Linked DNA regions of Schizosaccharomyces pombe. Changing the gene in region 1 together with any one later gene gives a genetic interaction. Each region holds a gene or a part of one and is shown on either strand. Other genes may lie near its edges.

Region 1 (5,480 bases):
CCCTCAACGGAACTAGTCGTCCCATTTTTTTACTCTCAGTGCCTGCAATTGAGGTAGCACAATTACAAACTCTTGGAGAAATGTCGTTAAAATTTTTAATAAAATTAATTGTAAAGATGACTGATTGCCCACGTCAAAGCTTCAGCTGTAGTGAATTAATTACAGTTTTACCTACTGTTCAGAAATTGACATTTTAGCAACGGCTGTTCTTTAAGGACAAAAAGCTACCTCTTCTGATATTCTTGAAGTTATAAAATGGTATAAACTGCCACCAAATTCACTATGTCGGCTTTCTATGATAATTCCTCTAATTCTTCACAATGATGTTACAAATACGCCTCAAGAAGATTTCTATCATCATCAGCAAAGACGTTATATCTATAAGCCAAGACTGAATTTAAAACTATTTATGAATGCATATAGCGCTAATGATGTCGATGGAGACACTCGAGTTCTCCCAATGTTTTTTAAATAATGACAGGGTTGTTTCGAGTATGATTATTACGAGTAGTTCATGTTAATAGTTATTCGAAAATTTCATTGATAAACCGGCCAAACCTCAACTGGCTTTGAATACTAGAGACTAAAGGAATAATAACACCATGAGTGACAAATTTATTCAATATAATATTTCGGCTTGTTTTACAAAGATACAAATACTGCAAAAAACATAAATCTAATGCACATGACAACTGGCTTTAAAAGTGCTAATTTACTGTTGCTAGCTACATAAGTAATCGAATATCGTGTGTGGCTCATGAATTTGCTTTTAAGCTTTCCTAATTGATTACAAAATTTTAATCTTCCTTTCCTCATCTGGTACAGATATTAAGAAATTTACGGCAGAAGACTTGGAAAACACAATAAGCCTTAGACCTTATTTATATGTTAACCTAATATGTCAAGATTGTTTGCTTTCTTATCAATGTTATGTGCTTATTGAGGTTAAAATATATATTTCCTAATTAACATTTATCAAATTAAATAAATTTCTAACGGCATTACACATGTCTCGCATTCAAAGAATAAAATAGTAGTCATCCGATAAACCTAGCTGACTCAAATTTTTTACAAACTAATTTCGCATAAGCGCATTATGAGCTTCCTTGGAACATATGGGGTTCGCCCTTGTTAATTGGCTTGGGGGCTTTTTCTTCCATCTTCTTCACTTCAGCTTCAGTAGCCTCACGAATACGGCGACCAAGCTCTGAATCAACACGAGTAAATACACCGTATTGGCGTTCACGTACAGGAGATATAGCACCAGACAAGTGACCGGCAACGTTCTTAACAAAGTTATCTTGCTGTCCAGGTTTCTTGCCCAAAACATTTTGCCAAAACGCTCTAGGTTGCTCAAAATCAACGTCGGTAATTTCGTCCATATGGTAAGTAACTTGACCTACCCACTTTTCGTGACCTTCGTCAGGCTCATATTGAACTTTAGCAAGTGGTCGGATTGAGGATGGATAGTTTGGCCAATTTCCTTGGTTTCCATTGACATTCATAGGGCCGTCACGAGAATAGTTAAAGACAGGACACTTAGGAGAATTGACGGGAATTTGCTCGAAATTAGCACCCAAACGATGGCGGTGGGTATCAGGATAGGAAAATGTACGTACTTGCAAAACAGGATCCGCTGAGACTTCAATACCAGGAACCATATGAGAAGGAGAGAACCCAGCCTGCTCGATATCTGCAAAGAAATTGGTAGGATTCTGATTCAAGGTAAAGCGTCCAACCCTTTGCATTGGTACGTCCTTATGAGGCCAGACCTTAGTAAGATCGAAAATGTTGTAGCGATATTTTTCAGCCTCCTGAGGGGTCATAACTTGAACGTAAAGCGTCCAACTGGGGTAATCACCACGTTCAATAGCTTCGAAAAGATCTTGACGAGCATGGTCGGGATTGGATCCATCCAATGCAGCGGCTTCTTCATTTGTTAAACCCTTGGTTCCTTGATTAGTAATGAAATGCCATTTGCAATAGTAGAATTCACCCTTATCATTAACAAATTTGTAGGTATGACTGGAAAAGCCATCCATGAAACGGTAGCTATAAGGGGTACCACCCAAGTCAGAGAAAAGAATCATAACTTGATGGATGGACTCTGCGTTTTGAGAAAGGTAATCCCAAAACATAGTAGCATCCTTCATATCATTTTGAGGGTTACGCTTCTGAGTATGGATGAAGAGAGGGAATTTAGCGGGATCACGAAGGAAGAAGACAGGGGTATTGTTTCCAACCATATCGAAAATACCTTCATCGGTGTAGAACTTTAATGCGAACCCACGAGGATCACGAGCAGTATCAGGAGTACCCCTTTCACCACCGACGGTGGAGAAACGAGCAACCATAGGGGTTTTCTTACCAACCTTAGAAAACATGGTATGTTTGGTATACTTGGTAATGTCGTCGGTGCATTCGAATTCACCAAAAGCACCGGAACCCTTTGCATGGACGACACGTTCAGGAATACGCTCGCGATCAAAGTGTTGAAAGACGTCGATTAAATGGGAATCTTGAAGTAAGACAGGACCTCCCTTACCCACACGAGCCGCAGCCATAGGGTTAAAAATGGGACAACCGGTGTTGGTGGTGTAAACAGGGACGGTATTTGAGTCTTTCGAGTTCATTTCGCTGATGTTTGAATCCTTAGACTGAGAAGATGCAAATCTGTTAAAGAGTAGCTTATTATTGTTAATCTTGGAATTAGTTGAACGACGAGCAAATGATTTTAAACTAGCTTGTCTACCAAGACAGTAACGTTCAAAGATGCGAAAAGCCGACACTTTGAAGAGTTAGGAGGGGAAAAAAAAAGACAGTCAAAAAATTGTGTTTTTTTAAAAAATTAGTGTCGAGTCTTTAACTAAATCACTCAAGACACAACCACAATTTCTATAATTCGATATTCGAACAAGGGAATTACAATCACACACACACAAAGAAGAACTTATAGTATTCTTCTATTCAAAAGCTATTACTTTTACGTGAAAAGCTGTATATTCAAGCAACTTGCAATTGCCTCTATATATATTGTCTGGTGTAGAATTACCAACGTCATATTTGCACAATAGGAAAACTCTTACCAACGCAAATGGCCGAGATTCCATTGGCTTAGTGAGCCAAAGAGCATCATTATTAGCGAAGCTACAATGACAAATTAACTTCTTCTACAGCCTATCGTAGTCGCCAAAATCCACCCTTCAGCCAATGTTTACGATGCGCTCATACCGTTACTTGGCCATATCAAATCTCCCAACACCATCGCTAACGTAAGCGGGCAAATCCCATCGTTAGCGATTAGTAAAACCAGCGTTTCTAGACACAGACGCTGACATGAAATTCTACTGCAAGTCGATATAGAGGAGAAAGATGCTTAATAAAATTAAAAGCTAGACTTTTCAGTCGCAAACTTGTGCTGGACATGCACCCTTTGGAACCAGTGTTTTTGGTAGATTAGCAGAGTATAGTGTGTTTCCTGGGGAAGTAAATAAAACAGATGTATGGTAAAATAGGATATGCAAGCATGTAGATTTTGGCCTGTATTCATGCGGTTTGTTTAGCTTGAAGAATTGATTTCACAAAAGTATGGTTTAATTTCAAATGATGTCGGGTTGATGTGCTAAGATCGGGAAATGGGTGAGTGAGAAAAGGAAGTTATGGTAATTTTATGATCGATTAGTTTGGAAACGTGTTTTATGGGCGCATTGTATATTTCTTAAATTATAAATTTTTTCTATTCTATATTAACTGAACTGAGAAAGTGGATTCATTGTGCACAGCTTCCCGTAGAGGTATAATGTGCACAAATCGGAAGTATGACTAGGAGAGTGAAATAGATAAGGAGGTTACTGAAATTAGAATACTTTCGTCCAATATACTTAGGAGTGCAAGTCTAAGGTCGAAGAAAGGCTGGAAGTGAAACAAGTCCCTTGCTTACAAAAAAAAAAAAATGGGAGATGCAAACAATCTAAGGACCGACAAACCGTAGGTATGGACGGCGTGTAAAGGCAATCCGTAGGAATGTGTGAAATAGAATATGATACGTTTAATAAAAGTCCTTCTTTTCCTCTACATCACAAATTTCAAGCAAAACGAAGTAATAATAATAAGGAATTTTTTCTTTCGTTGGTCTGACTAATTTTTTAGGTTCGATATAAACACTACGATTTCCATGCATGTTTTAATTCAGCGGATGAAGATATAACCCATACGTTGTTGTTTCCCATCGCTCACTCTACATTCGCTTAAATAAACTACTACCATTTGACTCGTCAAACAAAGATTGAAGGTGGTATTCACAAGCTTGTTTTATGTTGAATTCAATTTTTAGTTGGTAAAAGTACTTTAAGCATAAATGCCATTAACTGCTGTTCATGAAAGAGGGGACGTTATAGGTGGCAGAATTAAATTTCACTATATAGAGAACTATAGTGTTTTTTGGTCATCATCAGTAAGTGCAGAAACAGCATCAACTTAGTAAACAAAATAGTTACTTAGATTTCGCTTTATTCTTTATTTCCCTCTCCAAGACTTCACAAAGTCCTCGAAAATTCACGATGCTGATAGCTTCAGCTTTTCAGCACCATTTTTTCTTACTTGAGGGCGAGTTGATTAAATTCATCCTCTGCAAATCCTTCTTCTTTTATCTTTTCTCTCTAGAACGTTTGAAAAATTAGTTACACACGTCCAATTCCCTTAGTTGGAATTCATACCTGTTGAAACTCTTGCAATGCTGCTAAACGCCGTTGCCTATGAGAATAATAAGATTGGCCAAGAAGAACAGTGCCTCCAACAGTGCCGAAAATTAGAATCGATACCGATCCCTTTTGTACAATGTCGTAAATTCGATTTCTGTTCATAACACTGACCTAGTAGTTGTTAGTAGTCGTGTTTGTCAGTTTACCACATTACACAGCCTAATCGCTTCAGTAAACTTACTGAGTTTTCTTTATAATTTAATATGTTGTTAATGATTATTAGCACTGATGGAATGTGCTCTTAAAAGGTCACCTTTAGTGGCAAAGCTCTTTACAGTTGGGTTTTGTAGAAATGAGGCCTTCCCATATTCTACCGGCTTTCCGAGCTGTACCATGACGTTCTTTAAAATGATTAACAGGAGGTTTGAAAGTAGTGCTAAATTACGTTAAAACTCAACATGATTAATTCATTCGTCTAGTCATCACTGCTCGGCTCACTAATATCGTTGGTAAGTAATAAAGCGATAAAGGGATCGAATTATTATTTTAAAAAGTATTCCGGTGGGTGATACTATTCATTCATTATTAGAAATAAATCGCAAGCGTTTGTTGTAAATGAAGGTGTCTCAGTTATTTCCTGGATAATAAAAGTTGAATCTCAAATTTTTTTCATCTCAATACTTAAAAAATAAATCTTGTTACTGAGTGTCATAGTCGCTACATAGGATTCATAAACTGCAACTTTTATTTATCTTTTTCTAAGCACATTAGCTTTAAACG
Region 2 (4,213 bases), on another chromosome or scaffold:
AATTAATGAAGTCCGAATGCGGTTGCAATTAGAATTAAGAAAACTGAGTACCGGTGGTTTACACACACAGATAATTCAGTATGCAATGGAGCAATATATATAGTAAACTACCAGTTTGTCAGATTGGTGGCTTTGTTATAGAAAAAAAATTAATAATTAAGATCAAAAGCTTTGGTGTTGACGTTCCCTGGCAACCGGCACATTCACCACCTGCTTAATCTTATTTCAAAACAAAATAGCAAAACAGGAAGAAATCGGAAATGCAAAACACTATGTTTATAAGTAAACCGTCCAATTTGCTTTGTAACTGATATGAATCCAATAAGGAAATATAAAAAAATAGTAAAAAAATATTAACAATTAAAATTTTCTATTTCAGGATTAAGGTAACGCGGTGTTAGAAAACTGAGGGAAAGTAATGGGTCAATTTGGTTTAAGATTTGCACTTTAAAGTAAAAGAATTAGCACTAGCGGACAACTGCAAAAACAGACAATTATACTAAAGGGGTATCAGTTCATAAAAAAGTTGCAAAAGTGGTAATACCCTCGTTAGACCCACTCGGAAATCTTAAGTTAATAACGTTGACATTACTAATTGAGACAAAATTGTAGTTAAGAGACAAACTCATACTGCAGAGAACTCAATACGGTATGCATTCAAAATGAAATTTGCGAAAATAAAAATCAGTATGTCATTATACAATACAGAATTGGCCCAAGTAAAACACGGTTTAATCGTCGAGCTGTTTGGTTTTTTCAATTCCATGGAAAGCACGCGATGTCGTTGTTTTAAAACCAGTAATCGGCCGGTTTCAAAAGTATACATTCCAGAATACCACGGATTGATGCTGTGTAGCTCAATGCATGCCCACACACAGAACACCCGGATAAGTTGGTTCCGATATCCTCCAACCCGATAGGATGTTGGGTGATAAGATTTCTTTGACAAAATAGACATCAACAAAGCATGCATGCTTCCACTTCCATTAAACTCGGCGAACGGAAATGCCGCCATCCTACAAAATTCCCCTCACCTCTCCTATTGTCGGTCTTTGAAATTAACAACTACCAGGTACCGAGCAGAATGTTCTGCACGGAATTGACCTGACAACCGGCATCCGCACAAAACAGCCACTTCAGCAATTTCGGTTCCAAGTATGTTCCATTCATGCACGTAAACCGTAGTTTATTTTAGGAACCTCAGTTTACCGAACGCTAAAATTTATTAGGCAGCATATACTGCCGAAGCAAAAAGATGAACGGATACGAGGATTTTACCGCCCGCCACCCTTCAACAAGTGTAATGGATATAAGATGATTTGATAGTATTCGAAAATTTTTGAATTTTCGTGTCGAGTAGCAAATTCCATTGTTTTACATTCTTGCTATCTAATTAAAAGCAACGATGAGTTAATCTTTCGTGCATTATTCTAGTTCGACAAAACGCAGAATAATTTTCAAGAAAAGACCGTGGAAACTAATTAATTATTATAAGGACAGATGTCGATATTAATAAATTTCAATTTCTAACGATTTTCATAGTTTAATTTGTTATGAATTAATTCTATCTCATCCTCTATGACTTATTTCGTTCTATTTCATACTACCAATGCGTTTAAATTAAAATTAAAAATTTGAATAGTTAGGTACTCAGGCTTCTTATATAGCTATTGATGCAGTGTGTGACGTCATTTTTTTAAATTGAAAAAGGGGGTTTTTGACAGGGTAAGATTGTGTACCGTTCGGTATGCAAACTGAACTGGAAGATTGGAAAAATTAAACCCTTTTCTGAAAATAATAGGAATTAAGTTAGGATAGTCGAAACAATTTCTTCCATATAACTATCGTGATCAGTCAAGGGCAGTTTACTAATTTATTTCCAGCGTCGTATATTGCCGAATTCACACGCATTTTACTCACATCGTTCGAAGATAAAAAAAATATAAATAATAAAAATTGAAATTCGTGTAAGCGAAAAGGAATGTGTGAGAAGGATTTTGGACTGTTCTATTCTCATGGGAATGTGAAGTAACTACTCTCTTGCTACCATAGTTGCTTGTTGTGACTTGACATCGTATAAGTGACTGTAAATTAGATGCCGGCTCCATGTCGCACAATAAACCTTTTGAGAGAAAATAAATTATGACATTCCTAAGACTCGGCAATTTTGATTTGTTATTTTTTTTTATTCTCTCAACATTTCCCTAGATTCACAGTCGAGAATGATACGTTGATACACATCCTTTCACGGTAATCTGCAATCCCTGTTTATGGTTTTACATCGTCCTTCGTAATTCTTGTCTTTCTTATATATATATGGAGGAGTGCGTTTGAGATACGCCAGGACTCTAGAGAATTCTTCTCTTTCATTTATCTACGATAAAGTCTTCGTTTCTCCTCTCATTCTTTCACTAGAATAGAGAAAAAGAAGGACAATTGCAAAAGCTCTTTTTATAATTCAATCTTCCTTCTCAATTTTTTTTTCTATTTTCAAGCAAACCAACGGATTTTGACGTTCGTCTTTTCGTTATCTTTCAAAGTTAGCTATTTTAAAGAAAAAATGGATTTAAACTTATGTTTGCTATGTGGTAACTCCATCGATGCCGAAGGATTGTATTGCTCAAATGAATGTCGAATTCAGGATAAAGCTACGACAGAGCTGTTTTCTGATCCCTTGAAGTCGCCTTCTCTCAACGAGACAATAGACTACCTTGCTTTGAATTACTTTGATCTTTTCAGCAGACGATCTTCAATGTGCTCTTCGTCGAATTCCTCAATTTATTCTGGGATATATTATACCGAATTGAAGAATTATAGTGTTGAGAATTAGAAAATTTTTTACCTTTAATGTTTTTTCTACTCTTTGAAGCATTTCTCTTCTATTTGATCGAGCTACATAAATTATCGGTTTTGAGGCTATTGGAAGTTAGTATCAAATAAAATTTGGTATAGTTTGGATTTCCCTAATCATTTTTTCATTTTCGGCTTCATTTGTTTTTTACATTCTCTTTCTTAGTTACTTACCTACAGTTCTTTCGCGTTTCCTCGGATTTTTTTTCTTTTCTTTTATCACCCTCACTAATTGCATTATTTATCTTTAATTTTCTTTTGAAATTAAAAAAAAAAGAGGGTCTACTTTAATTTTTTTTTCTTCAATCCTGAGCTCATTTAGCATCACTTTAGAATGTTTCATAATGATATTAAGGGATATCCATTTAAATATATTACGGAGCTTGTCACTCTACCCTTGAGTCTATCTTAAAAAAATACATTTACAGAATCATTTGTTTACGATAACATTATTGATATTCATTTATACATTTAAAGCTTTTTTTTTTATTAAAAAGCATTTTCTTTATATTAATAGGACTAACGTCAATTTCCTTTCATTTGCATACATTCGGCAATAATGACTAGCAATTAACACCAATGCTAGAACGATCTTTTTTGTTTTATTATAGTGTGCCTAATTTTCTTTATTTTTCGTTATTTGTGGCTGCATTTTTTATTTATTTATTTATTTATTTATTTACATCTTGTCATTTAGTTAAAAATTTAATGAACTATTTTTGTTTAACTAATATTAATTTGTCATTTCATCTTTTCTTTATACATCTTATTTTACTGAATCAGAGTTATTTGAATTAAATAATAATTAATTTCGCTTCTCGTTTTCTATGCACCATACAACTAGTAAAGATTTATTAAAGATTTTTTATATACTAAACTTTTAAAAATGTGTACAAAAAGTGGGACGTGTAGATGTCACTGATTTGGATTTTTTCTGTAAATTAGCTTCGGCAAATTTATTAGAATAAGAACAGTAAAAAAAAAATAAAGATTGGAATGTGCTTAAGATTTTTCTCAAGAAGTGTAAATGCTACGAATTCAATAATTATAATAAATTTGTAAATAATATAAAGAATCACAAATGCAGAATTACCATATCATTGATGTCTACATGAGTTAAGACCTTGGCGAGTTTAATAGTACATGAACATCATAAAAAATTTCAAAAATAAACTTAATATTGCCACAGGATGGAGATTTAGTATCCCATTTGTTTAGTATCCTGCTAGCTCATCCATAACTGGAAAATTAGGAAATAAACAACGAAATACTGTTTATAATCAATGAATATTCAAGGAAAAACAACCAACCAAAATTTACAGCATAATAATTAACGACGAAAAGATGGAAATACCGTAACGAT
Region 3 (5,703 bases), on another chromosome or scaffold:
GACCAGCAATCTAGCATTTCCATCCAATTTGCAGATGGTAGATCTTTCCAAGAAGAGATGCTTGTTAAGAAAGATTGACATTGTTTACATTTAATGGTACTTTTGACAGCATCATCTTTATTTAAATCAATAGCCTTCCAAGGAACCTGTATTTCATCGCTATATGTAACTGGAGGACACGAAATTACCAATTGAATAGTATCCGAGCGTATAATAGGATTAATTGGAGTCGACCTAGAAAGCGTTAAGGGTAAAGGGAATTTTAAGTCAGCGACGCATTTTGGGATGTCTTTTGTTTCTGGATCCAAAAAGACATTTACCCTACCTACATGAACGAGATATTCAGCAAGCATGCAAAGTCTGTATAGATGATTCGCTGCTTATTGATCGAAGAAGAAGCAAAGAGCAAAGGTGAAGAGAAATTGAGACGAATGATATAACGAGAACTAGTGCCAAAAAAGTTAATTATAGCGAAGCACTAACGTATCATTATGTTACGATACATGACTATATACAAAAATTGAGAGGTTTGAAAGTTACTCTCGCTATTCCATCAGAAAGCGTTGCAAAGCAGTGTAATATCATCCAGCGTAGTTTAAACTAGAACCGTATTGTTTACTGAATGCCAGCAATACACTACTCTATGATACACTGTGTTGCGTATTACTATATGGCACATGTTCTAATTATATATCATACTATGTATGATACGACATTGAGATTGATCTTAATGATAATTTATTAAGATCTATATTATCTGAATACTATAAATAGAGCTACTGCTGAACCTCGTTCCTCAGTTCAGTTATGAGCTATATCGGTGACCGATACTAAGAGACTTCTTATAACAATAAATATACGTTATTAGTTAACATACCGCATACCGCTACATTGTAGGTCGCAAGTAAACTCACCACAGTTCTGTGTATCGTTAAATAGATACCAAACTGCGTAGCTGATACTGAATGAGAAGTGTAGTAAATAATAAAAGAGGTTTGTGTCATTTATGAAGGTGTTTTTGAGGAAATAATTATTATAAATAATTGTTGTGTTGCATATAAACAGGATTTAAAGGTAAATAAGGGAAGAAAAAAGCTTAGCCAACTTGAGTTGACCCCATAAAAGAAACATATATTATTTATTTATTCGTTAATGTTTTTTAAACACAAAATGTAAACGATTCATTGATATTGAAGAATGTAATAGTAAGAAAAAAATTAATGAAATATTTAGAAAATACAAATCAATTGCAATCTCGTTATTTTTTTCTTGTGTAATAAAAAAAAAAAATTGTGCAGTGAAAATTAAACAAGTTTATTATGACAGTAGAATAAAACACTTATTAACCATCTATCCTACACAAAATGCATTAATTTCTTTCTTTTTAATTTTAGTCAATTATTTACTTTTGAATTCACTTCACATTCTCATTTACTTTTAGCCTTTTGTTTACTCCTTTACCTCCACATGGTTAGATTTCAGGTCAGTCCCCCACTTGGAGCTTTTTCAATACCATGTGGGAAAATCGATTATGGACTTTTAATCCCACCTGTGTATGCCCCCACATGGAACTTTCTATAACTTTCCATGGAAACCGGGGATGGAGCAATATGTTCAAAGAATAATGCTAGAAAGATTGTATGCTGAATCCCACAAGGTACGTGACCCCCACAAAATAATAAGCATACTTCCTATGGTAATAAAATAATAATATAGAGATTTTGCTACTTTCAAGACTTTGTCCCTTTCATGTAAATACAAATTATTTTTTTCACAAGTGCGTCGTAGTGTTAGGAAATAGAATTGAAGAAACATTAGAAACGTCAACTAAGACTGATGTTTATGAATCTCGTTTCTTTTCAACGTACTGTAGAATGTAGAAGAATGTAAACAAATAGATAAACTACCTTCTACTAAATATTTCATTATCTTCATTATCTTATGTAAAAAACGTGGTGCTAGCTTTCCGTTTGATCCAATATTATACTATACAATTGTTTTTATCTTCAACAGGATTCGATTACTTACGGGGAAAAATTAAGGTTAAATGGAAATGTGAATAAAATCATAATATTACTAAAATCCCTTTGCAACTATTTACAAACATCTTTCTGTTGACTTCTCAGTATTTAAATTGTTTTTCTTTTCATTCATCCATAAAAAACATATACATTCTTTAGTATTCTCTTTTTTTCTTCTCTTCCGTGCATACTAGAGTGTTTGCAACCTTCTTTACGAAAGATTCGCTATCAGTAGTTTTCTACTGTTTTCTTTTTTCCATAAATTTCGCTGGGTGGCTGCAAACAGAGAAATTTTCGTTTCCTTAATAACCTGTAGGGTCCGCCTCCTTCTTTGTGAATTGTAAAGAGGCAAACAATAGAAATTGATCGCCTAAACAAATTAAAACAAAAAAATTTAACTGCCGAAGTGCATTTTTATTCAATTTTTTTTTACGTTTTTCTCTGTTTCCCGGCTTTCGCGATATCGTTTGGCATTTGCATTTTTATTTATTTAGTCTTATTTACTGTACAAATTCAATCCTTTATTTTCCTATTGTTTCAAAGGGGAAAGAAATAAAAGGAAAGGAAATTTCTCATCTCTTGATTTTAACTCGATTTTCTATACTCGCAGTTTGAATCTCTGTGTGATTATTTCTTTTCTTTTGATCATTTTATATATTTTGAGCGAAATTTTTACGATTTTCTTACTCAGCACAACAATTACGATTTAAGGGAAATTTTGTTCTCGTATTTTCCTTTGACAACAACACACCAGCTACAAGAACATAAGAACAACACACTTTTCTTTCAACCATTTCCTACCACTTTTCACATTTTGATAATTTGTGAAAGGAAATTTAATAGAAAAGTATTGAAAAGAAACGATTATTTTGTGTTTCTTTCTAGAAAATTGGTGGATTGCTATTTTAGCGATAAAATTTTTTTTAAACTTATCTGAGAAAGTTTTTAAGGGAAATTTTTTTACTTTTTCCTCTTTTCTCACGAATTTGACTTATTGTTGAATCTTTGCTTTATTATAGACTCCATTAAAGTCTCCTCTAATATTTTATCTTCTTAATATTCCAATTTCTTTTTTATTTACCCCCTTTCTTCCACTGTCGTTTTTGTTCTCCTTACATATATTACAAGCATAATGGTGAAAGAAACTAAACTATACGAAGTCTTGAACGTTGATGTCACTGCTTCTCAAGCTGAATTGAAGAAAGCTTACCGCAAGCTTGCTTTAAAATATCATCCCGACAAAAACCCTAATGCCGGCGATAAGTTTAAGGAAATTAGCCGTGCTTATGAAATTCTTGCTGATGAAGAGAAACGTGCTACTTATGATCGTTTTGGTGAAGAAGGTTTACAAGGTGGTGGTGCCGATGGTGGTATGTCTGCTGATGACTTGTTTGCTTCCTTTTTTGGTGGTGGAATGTTTGGTGGTGGTATGCCCCGTGGTCCTCGCAAGGGCAAGGATCTTGTTCATACCATCAAGGTTACTTTGGAGGACCTCTATCGTGGTAAGACTACAAAGCTTGCTTTGCAAAAGAAGGTCATTTGCCCCAAGTGTAGCGGTCGTGGTGGCAAGGAAGGCTCTGTCAAATCTTGTGCCTCTTGTAATGGTAGCGGTGTCAAATTCATTACTCGTGCCATGGGTCCAATGATACAACGTATGCAAATGACCTGTCCTGATTGTAATGGTGCAGGTGAAACCATCCGCGATGAAGACCGTTGCAAAGAATGTGATGGTGCCAAGGTCATTTCTCAACGTAAAATCCTTACCGTACATGTTGAGAAGGGTATGCACAATGGTCAGAAGATTGTATTTAAGGAAGAAGGCGAGCAAGCTCCTGGAATCATTCCCGGTGATGTAATCTTTGTCATTGATCAAAAGGAACATCCTCGTTTCAAGCGCAGTGGTGATCATTTGTTTTATGAGGCTCATGTCGATTTACTCACTGCTTTGGCTGGTGGTCAAATTGTCGTCGAGCACCTGGACGACCGTTGGCTTACTATCCCCATCATCCCCGGAGAGTGCATTCGTCCCAATGAACTCAAAGTTCTTCCTGGTCAAGGTATGCTTTCTCAACGCCATCATCAACCTGGAAACCTTTACATTCGCTTCCATGTCGACTTTCCTGAACCCAACTTCGCTACCCCAGAACAGCTTGCATTGCTTGAAAAGGCTTTACCTCCCCGTAAGATTGAGAGCGCTCCCAAAAATGCTCACACTGAGGAATGTGTTTTGGCAACTGTCGATCCTACTGAGAAGGTTCGCATTGACAATAACGTGGACCCCACTACTGCCACTTCGATGGATGAAGATGAAGATGAAGAAGGTGGACACCCCGGTGTTCAATGTGCTCAACAGTAAACCTGTCTTATTCTGAATTTCTTTTCATTCATTTTTTCAAAATTGACAGCATTTGGATTCGTTATCCTTTTAAGAAGAGCCTAGACAATTATTTGTTTTCAGATGTTCCTAATCTTTTCCTTAGGTTTCGAGTTGCTATTGCATGTATACCTTATTCTCTTGTTCCTTTTTTTCATCCTGTAAACTCATTCCCCTCATTTGGTGTTAGTTTTCTTTTATCTCATAAAGATGTTTGATATCTAGCTTCGGCATATCTAACATACTTGCCTTTGATAGTTATTCTCTCGGTTCTTATCTTGGTCTTTATACTTCGTTAATACGCTGCTTCAATAAATATAATGACTGCAAAAAGTCGATTTATAAATATGAATACATAAATTAGATCTTGCTTGCTTTGTTTGTAAAATTTTAGTATTTGTGAGACAATTACAATTACGGCTTTTGGAAAAAGTAGTAAATAATTTTTGATGCGCTTCTGCACTTTGAATTGTCTGCGAACTAAAATTATGTTTATTCACTCTACTTATCGTTGCAATACAATTCAAGTGGGGGATGCTACTAAATTGTAACTGTAAATACAAAATCGTAAAACTTGAAGAATATACCTTGAAAAAATTTTACTCTCGTTTTCTTACTAAACTATCATCCCTGGGTGATATGCGTTAGAATCCGATCTTTGTCAATAAAAAAGTTCAGACGGTCTTCCCGGTAATCTCTTGTCAACAATGTGTCAGGAGATACCACCCTATAAATAGGAGGCCAAAGTTTAATCTCGTCAACTTTATGTCCGATGAATGAAGAGTAGTCATCAACTGCGGCAGGTTTAGTTGCTCGTGCTTTTTTGTTTGCCAAGATGTAAACGGGCTGTGCTGGATTTCTTATGGAGATTTCTCGCGGTATGTGATTACTTAACCATTTTGGAAGGATGGGAATTTTCGTGTTGGAATTAACGGATTCTATAACATCAAAAGTATCATTATATGATTCGGGATCTTCGGTGATTAAATAGTCGAATTGGGAAATAAATAAAGAATTTGAAAGCATTTTAGGATCCTCAGTTTTGTCATAGTACCACGATGGAAGCTGTGAAAATCGAGTTATACCTGTCATACACGGATATACATCCATGTGTACAGAAACTAAGTACGTTAGAATAATCTAATTGGTGAAAAAGTTGAACTTACCTTGGGGATGATTTTCAATTTCATATAAACGAGTTAATGCTAGACCACCAGGGTAAGCGTATTGAAAAACATATAACAAAAAACTGCTTCCAATAAACCCGAAGATTATCCCCGAAAAAAACATTAACCTTAGAATTTCAAA
Region 4 (4,851 bases), on another chromosome or scaffold:
AGTTGCGATTGCCGGGGCAGAATAAGTAGTTCCTCGAAGATCTGCAAAAGCAACATATGGTTCCTTATTTTCCCCATCCACCCCGGCTACAATGAGTTGATTCCAATATGGGTCAAGTTTGTTTCTGCGAGCGTACAACACCTTCGACAAGTATTCATGAATATACGAAGGTTGTAAGGCATAGCCGTCACCATAATTTCCTTCTTTTATTTCTAATTTTTCTAATAGGCGCTGGATTTGTTGATAATCCGAAATATCCCCACCGGCGCCAACAATCGTATTATCACCTACTTTTGTCAACCGTTCAACATCATAAAAGCGCGCTAATGATCCATAGGATGCCAGGTTATCAGCAGCAATCATTACACCGTCTGCAAACTTCAAAGCAAGGACTGATGATCCAGTTACTATCGGTTGAACAGTGCGTTGAATTGGTGCATCGGTTGATTCTTCAACTTCCGAGCCACTAGGAAAAAAAATGTCTTTTTGAGGCTTTCCCCAAACCTCTGTTAATTCTAAAAAACTCATTTTTTGCAAATTAAAACTGTGTGGTTCTTACTAAGTTTTCGAGGTTGATGTCGCTTTATAACACATAACCACCATGCACCTATTACGAAGACAGTGTTTGAAAAGTTTGTAGTAATTTTGAGAAGGTTGCTTATTAATAGCTTTCAAAAGTTTTATATTTGCTATTCTAGATTTATTCTAGATACATTAACTTTTAATGATAAACTGAAGCAACCTATGTTTGATAAGAAAAAGTACAGACAAAGTCACTTTATGGGATCAAACTATGATGTAGAGTTAAACTAATAAATAAAATATAGAAAACTTTATCTTCCTAAAAATTGTGCAATATTCAATGGAATGGCTCAAGTCTAAACTCCGTTGGTCAAAGTTTAGTTAAAATGAAACATAAGCTTAGCAATTATTGATAAGTCACTGGAATATTAATTAAAGAGTCGTATACTTCTTGAATTATGTTTCGTCTTGTTTCTAAATCCGAAATCTTCGTAGGCGATTTTAGAGCTTTAGGAGACCACATGTAAATGTTCCCATTCATATCACCAGTAAAACACTGTTCAAAGTCAGGACGATAGGCAGCACAATTAATACGTTTTAAACTGTGGGTTGAAAGTCGGCGCACAAACGAGCCTTCTAACAAGTTCAATAAGGCAAGAGACCCATCATCGTTGGGGAATAACACAAAAACATCTGAATCCATAGAGGGTTGGATCATGCAAGGATGTACCGCGAAGGAAGTAGTCTGGTTATGAATAATAGGTCCAAATTCTCTCAATGTGTTTCTTCCACTTTCCATATTCCATACTCTTATTCGATCGTCGGTACCACAACTTGCCAAATATCGAGCATCTGAAGTCCAAGCTAATCCATTAACGGTGCCGTAATGAGATATATTTGTCTGGTTACTGGGTAAATACTTATTATGTAGATCCATACATGCGAAGCTGGATGATACTTTACGAATGTCCCAAAGTCTGCAAGTGCCATCTGCAGAGCCGGACGCTAACACGAATTCATTCTTAGGACACCAATCCACCGCAAGGACATTACCCGTGTGTCCAGACAAACTATGAGTATAACTACCACTTTGCATATCACAAAGCCGAATAGACGAAGACCGGTAGGCGGCTATCGTTAGATGAACAATCTCAAGAATGAAGAATATAACGTACTGGCAATTAAACAATGTGATGCAATGGGCGACCATGCATGTGAATAAATCATGTCCTCCATAGTAAAAGTGTAAGCTTCCTACCAATATTAGAACATTGGTTAATTTGCGATTTCTACTTTTATTACCTGTAAAGTAGAAACATCCCAAACCTTGAGCGTATGATCGAACGACGAGCTAGTAAAAATACCATTATCAAACGGAAACCAATGCAAATCTGTTATTCCAAACTTATGACTCGTTCGACTAAAACACCGCAAGTTAGCTATTGATCACTAGTGTATATATTGAAATTGTCATAAACTAGGTAGAAAATGAATGCTTACGCAGGAACTGCATTTAAGGTATCCAAAATTAAATCTTCATCTTCCTTTTGGTCAATATTTTGTAGGTCCCAAACATTGATAGACGAGTTGGCTCCTCCAGAGACCATGCTGTCAATAGAAATTGTTAACCAAAAATTGAAAGCTTTGATAAATCAACGATATAGGTCATACAGCTGATGAATTGTATTATCAATGCTTAGTGCATTTACGGATCCTAAAATGCCCGCACCGTGTCTACGTTTAATTTTCACATCCGGATTCAGCGCTAACCGTTGAAGACGATGCTGCAGTAGTTGCCTTCGAAAAGAGCTATTTGGCTCTACAAATGTGAGACTTGAAATCCTTATATCACATAATCAATTGCATTACCTTGGCCCCATTCTCGTGCCAATAAAAAAGAATTCATTCGATTTCACCTAAGAAATAGACTCAGATGCTACAGTAAGCAACTGACAGCTTAAAACAACCCGGTTTTTAAACCATGTATAACAAATTAAGTCTAAATAAAATTACAGCTAGTTTAATATGAGCGGTAAATAATACTGTCAATTAATCAACTTCTATGTTTAAATAGCAAACTCAAAGGTAGTTTCCAGGAAACAATAATAAAAAAATATGTTTTTCGACGTTGGCTAGACGCACTACTAATAACGGTCGTGGTGTACGAGATGGTATTGGCAGACGGTTTATAGAACTCAACCTCAACCATATGTCAGTTATTGAAATTAGATCGTACCAGCACTGGATCTCAACGATCCCTAAGTCCGGATATCTTGCAGTTGATTGCTATGCCGATTGGTGTGGTCCTTGCAAAGCAATTTCTCCCTTATTTTCACAATTAGCATCGAAATATGCTAGCCCCAAATTCGTTTTTGCTAAAGTAAATGTAGACGAGCAACGTCAAATTGCCTCCGGGCTTGGCGTCAAAGCAATGTATGTGTTTACCTAATCCGTCACTGTACCATTGGTTTTGCTAACATTTTAGGCCTACATTTGTTTTCTTTGAAAATGGCAAACAAATTGATATGCTAACTGGAGCAAACCCACAAGCTTTGAAGGAAAAAGTTGCTTTGATTTCCTCAAAAGCCACAGGAACTGGCGCTCTTGCTTCTTCGTCATCGGCACCTGTCAAGGGTTTTGCTAGCTTGCAAGGCTGCATTGAAAATCCCCAATTGGAATGTCTAAATCAACAAGATGATCACGATTTGAAAAGTGCATTTAACAGTAATCCTTCCTCATTTTTAGAGTCGGATGTTGACGAGCAATTAATGATATACATACCTTTTCTTGAAGTGGTAAAGGTTCATTCTATTGCAATTACTCCTGTTAAGGGAGAAACTTCGAGTGCTCCAAAAACCATCAAATTGTACATCAATCAGCCCAACAATCTTTCTTTTGAAGATGCTGAGTCATTTACTCCAACTCAAGTCATTGAGGATATAGTTTACGAACAAGACGATCAACCTACAATTATTCCCCTTCGTTTTGTTAAATTTCAACGTGTCAATTCTCTCGTTATTTTTATTTATTCGAATGTCGGAGAAGAAGAAACTACTAAGATTTCTCGCTTAGAATTATTTGGTGAGCCTGTTGGTGATTCAAGTAAAGGAAAACTACAAAAGGTCGAAGCTTAGGTGCTTAACAATTTGTTAACTAAAATCATGACGGTTTACGAATTTACCTTTATGAAAATCTAGTTTCGTATACATTACTCGACCAATCTGGTGTCTTGATACCAAAGAATACTACAAACCTTTCATTTGAGCATTGTAATTGCTGACTACTCACGAAATGGGAATATAAATGGATAATCTAATTTATATAGAATAAAGATTTTCTAAGCGGTAACGTTTGATAAATAAAATGAATGTTTTTTAATTTTGTCTCACGTAGAGGAAATTTTGTGAGAAATCCAAAAATTCCACATATTAACACTATGATGACCTTTCCCAAAGCTGAATAAAACTTTCGCCTAAACGAATCATATCGCTACTGATTTCTTCAACATATAAGTCTTGAATTTGATACCATTTATTGGTAGAGGGGTTTCGAATTTGAATTCGGAAGTTATGAAATTCTTCTTCAGCATGTGTCACGGACTCATGTATAATATTAGCAACGAGGTTGTATTTCGTAGAGATTTTCGGATTTGACTGGATAAATGAGTCATCAATAAATGGGCTCATATCAAAATCATCCAAAGGAAATGTCACTATAGTTTGGTTTCTTTCCGTAAAGTAATTGTTTTTCATAAATCTTTTGATGTGAAATATAAAGTATGGAGGAGCCGTCATTAAATGAAAACGCCGTCGCATACCTGCAAGTTCTTGGGTATGTACCCCATTATATTTGTTAAGTATCTCTTTTAATTCTACTTGTGGGATGATATTACCTTCAAACTCATCTTGGAATATGGGTTTCGGAGGTAAATCAAGAGTAAGGTAAAGAAAAGGGACGACGTTAGTTTGTATAACCCTATCACCAGTAAACACAACTTGCTCTCCCTTTTCAGCATGTTGGCGAATTTTCTGTGATTCAATACGTACAAATCCTTGAAAGCTGTAATGTACAATAGAAGTAGGTTTTGCTATGGTCGACTTTTTTCCACCAAGGCAATTGTGTAAAGTATTTAAAAACCAGGAAAGGAATTCTACTGGATCTTTTTGTTCATTAATAGAATATTTTTTGTGAGAAAGAACTGTAACCTCCTGAATGAGTTCTTGAGGAGAGACATGGCTCTTGAATGCTTTATGGTTCCAAAGTTTACGAATAAGGATTGCCAATCTTTGGACAAGTTGAGGGCAATTATCAAAGTTTTTAAGCAAAAAA

What was found.
Region 2: of ctt1 (region 1) and ecl3, extra expression of one rescues a mutant of the other (dosage rescue), as found in Schizosaccharomyces pombe (2 studies listed by BioGRID, with this or other methods).
Region 3: of ctt1 (region 1) and mas5, changing one suppresses a phenotype caused by changing the other (phenotypic suppression), as found in Schizosaccharomyces pombe (one study listed by BioGRID).
Region 4: of ctt1 (region 1) and txl1, changing one suppresses a phenotype caused by changing the other (phenotypic suppression), as found in Schizosaccharomyces pombe (one study listed by BioGRID).

What each region holds. Positions count from the first base shown.
Region 1 is NC_003421.2:55,833-61,312, forward strand, and holds ctt1 (catalase), read right to left. Parts: upstream 3,002-5,480; 5' UTR 2,634-3,001; coding exon 1,095-2,633; 3' UTR 822-1,094; downstream 1-821. Other genes in the region: SPOM_SPCC757.06 (uncharacterized protein), read left to right, coding at 1-197; cytochrome c oxidase assembly protein Cox14, read right to left, coding at 4,596-4,658, 4,716-4,862. UniProt on the Schizosaccharomyces pombe protein: Catalyzes the degradation of hydrogen peroxide (H(2)O(2)) generated by peroxisomal oxidases to water and oxygen, thereby protecting cells from the toxic effects of hydrogen peroxide.
Region 2 is NC_003423.3:4,439,957-4,444,169, reverse strand, and holds ecl3 (protein Ecl3), read left to right. Parts: upstream 1-2,342; 5' UTR 2,343-2,560; coding exon 2,561-2,830; downstream 2,831-4,213.
Region 3 is NC_003423.3:1,078,566-1,084,268, forward strand, and holds mas5 (DNAJ domain-containing protein Mas5), read left to right. Parts: upstream 1-2,809; 5' UTR 2,810-3,153; coding exon 3,154-4,377; 3' UTR 4,378-4,782; downstream 4,783-5,703. Other genes in the region: ipa1 (mRNA processing protein), read right to left, coding at 1-353; alg12 (dolichyl-P-Man:Man(7)GlcNAc(2)-PP-dolichyl-alpha-1,6-mannosyltransferase), read right to left, coding at 5,020-5,516, 5,562-5,703. UniProt on the Schizosaccharomyces pombe protein: Probably involved in mitochondrial protein import. Plays a role in microtubule cytoskeleton organization.
Region 4 is NC_003423.3:765,359-770,209, reverse strand, and holds txl1 (thioredoxin-1-like protein Txl1), read left to right. Parts: upstream 1-2,719; 5' UTR 2,720-2,731; coding exon 2,732-2,955; intron 2,956-3,007; coding exon 3,008-3,656; 3' UTR 3,657-3,858; downstream 3,859-4,851. Other genes in the region: pre4 (proteasome core particle subunit beta 7), read right to left, coding at 1-528; DNA repair ERCC8 family protein ckn1, read right to left, coding at 929-1,653, 1,698-1,776, 1,825-1,942, 2,023-2,130, 2,194-2,341, 2,392-2,428; ubiquitin C-terminal hydrolase Ubp10, read right to left, coding at 3,957-4,851. UniProt on the Schizosaccharomyces pombe protein: Has a role in cellular detoxification of alkyl hydroperoxide.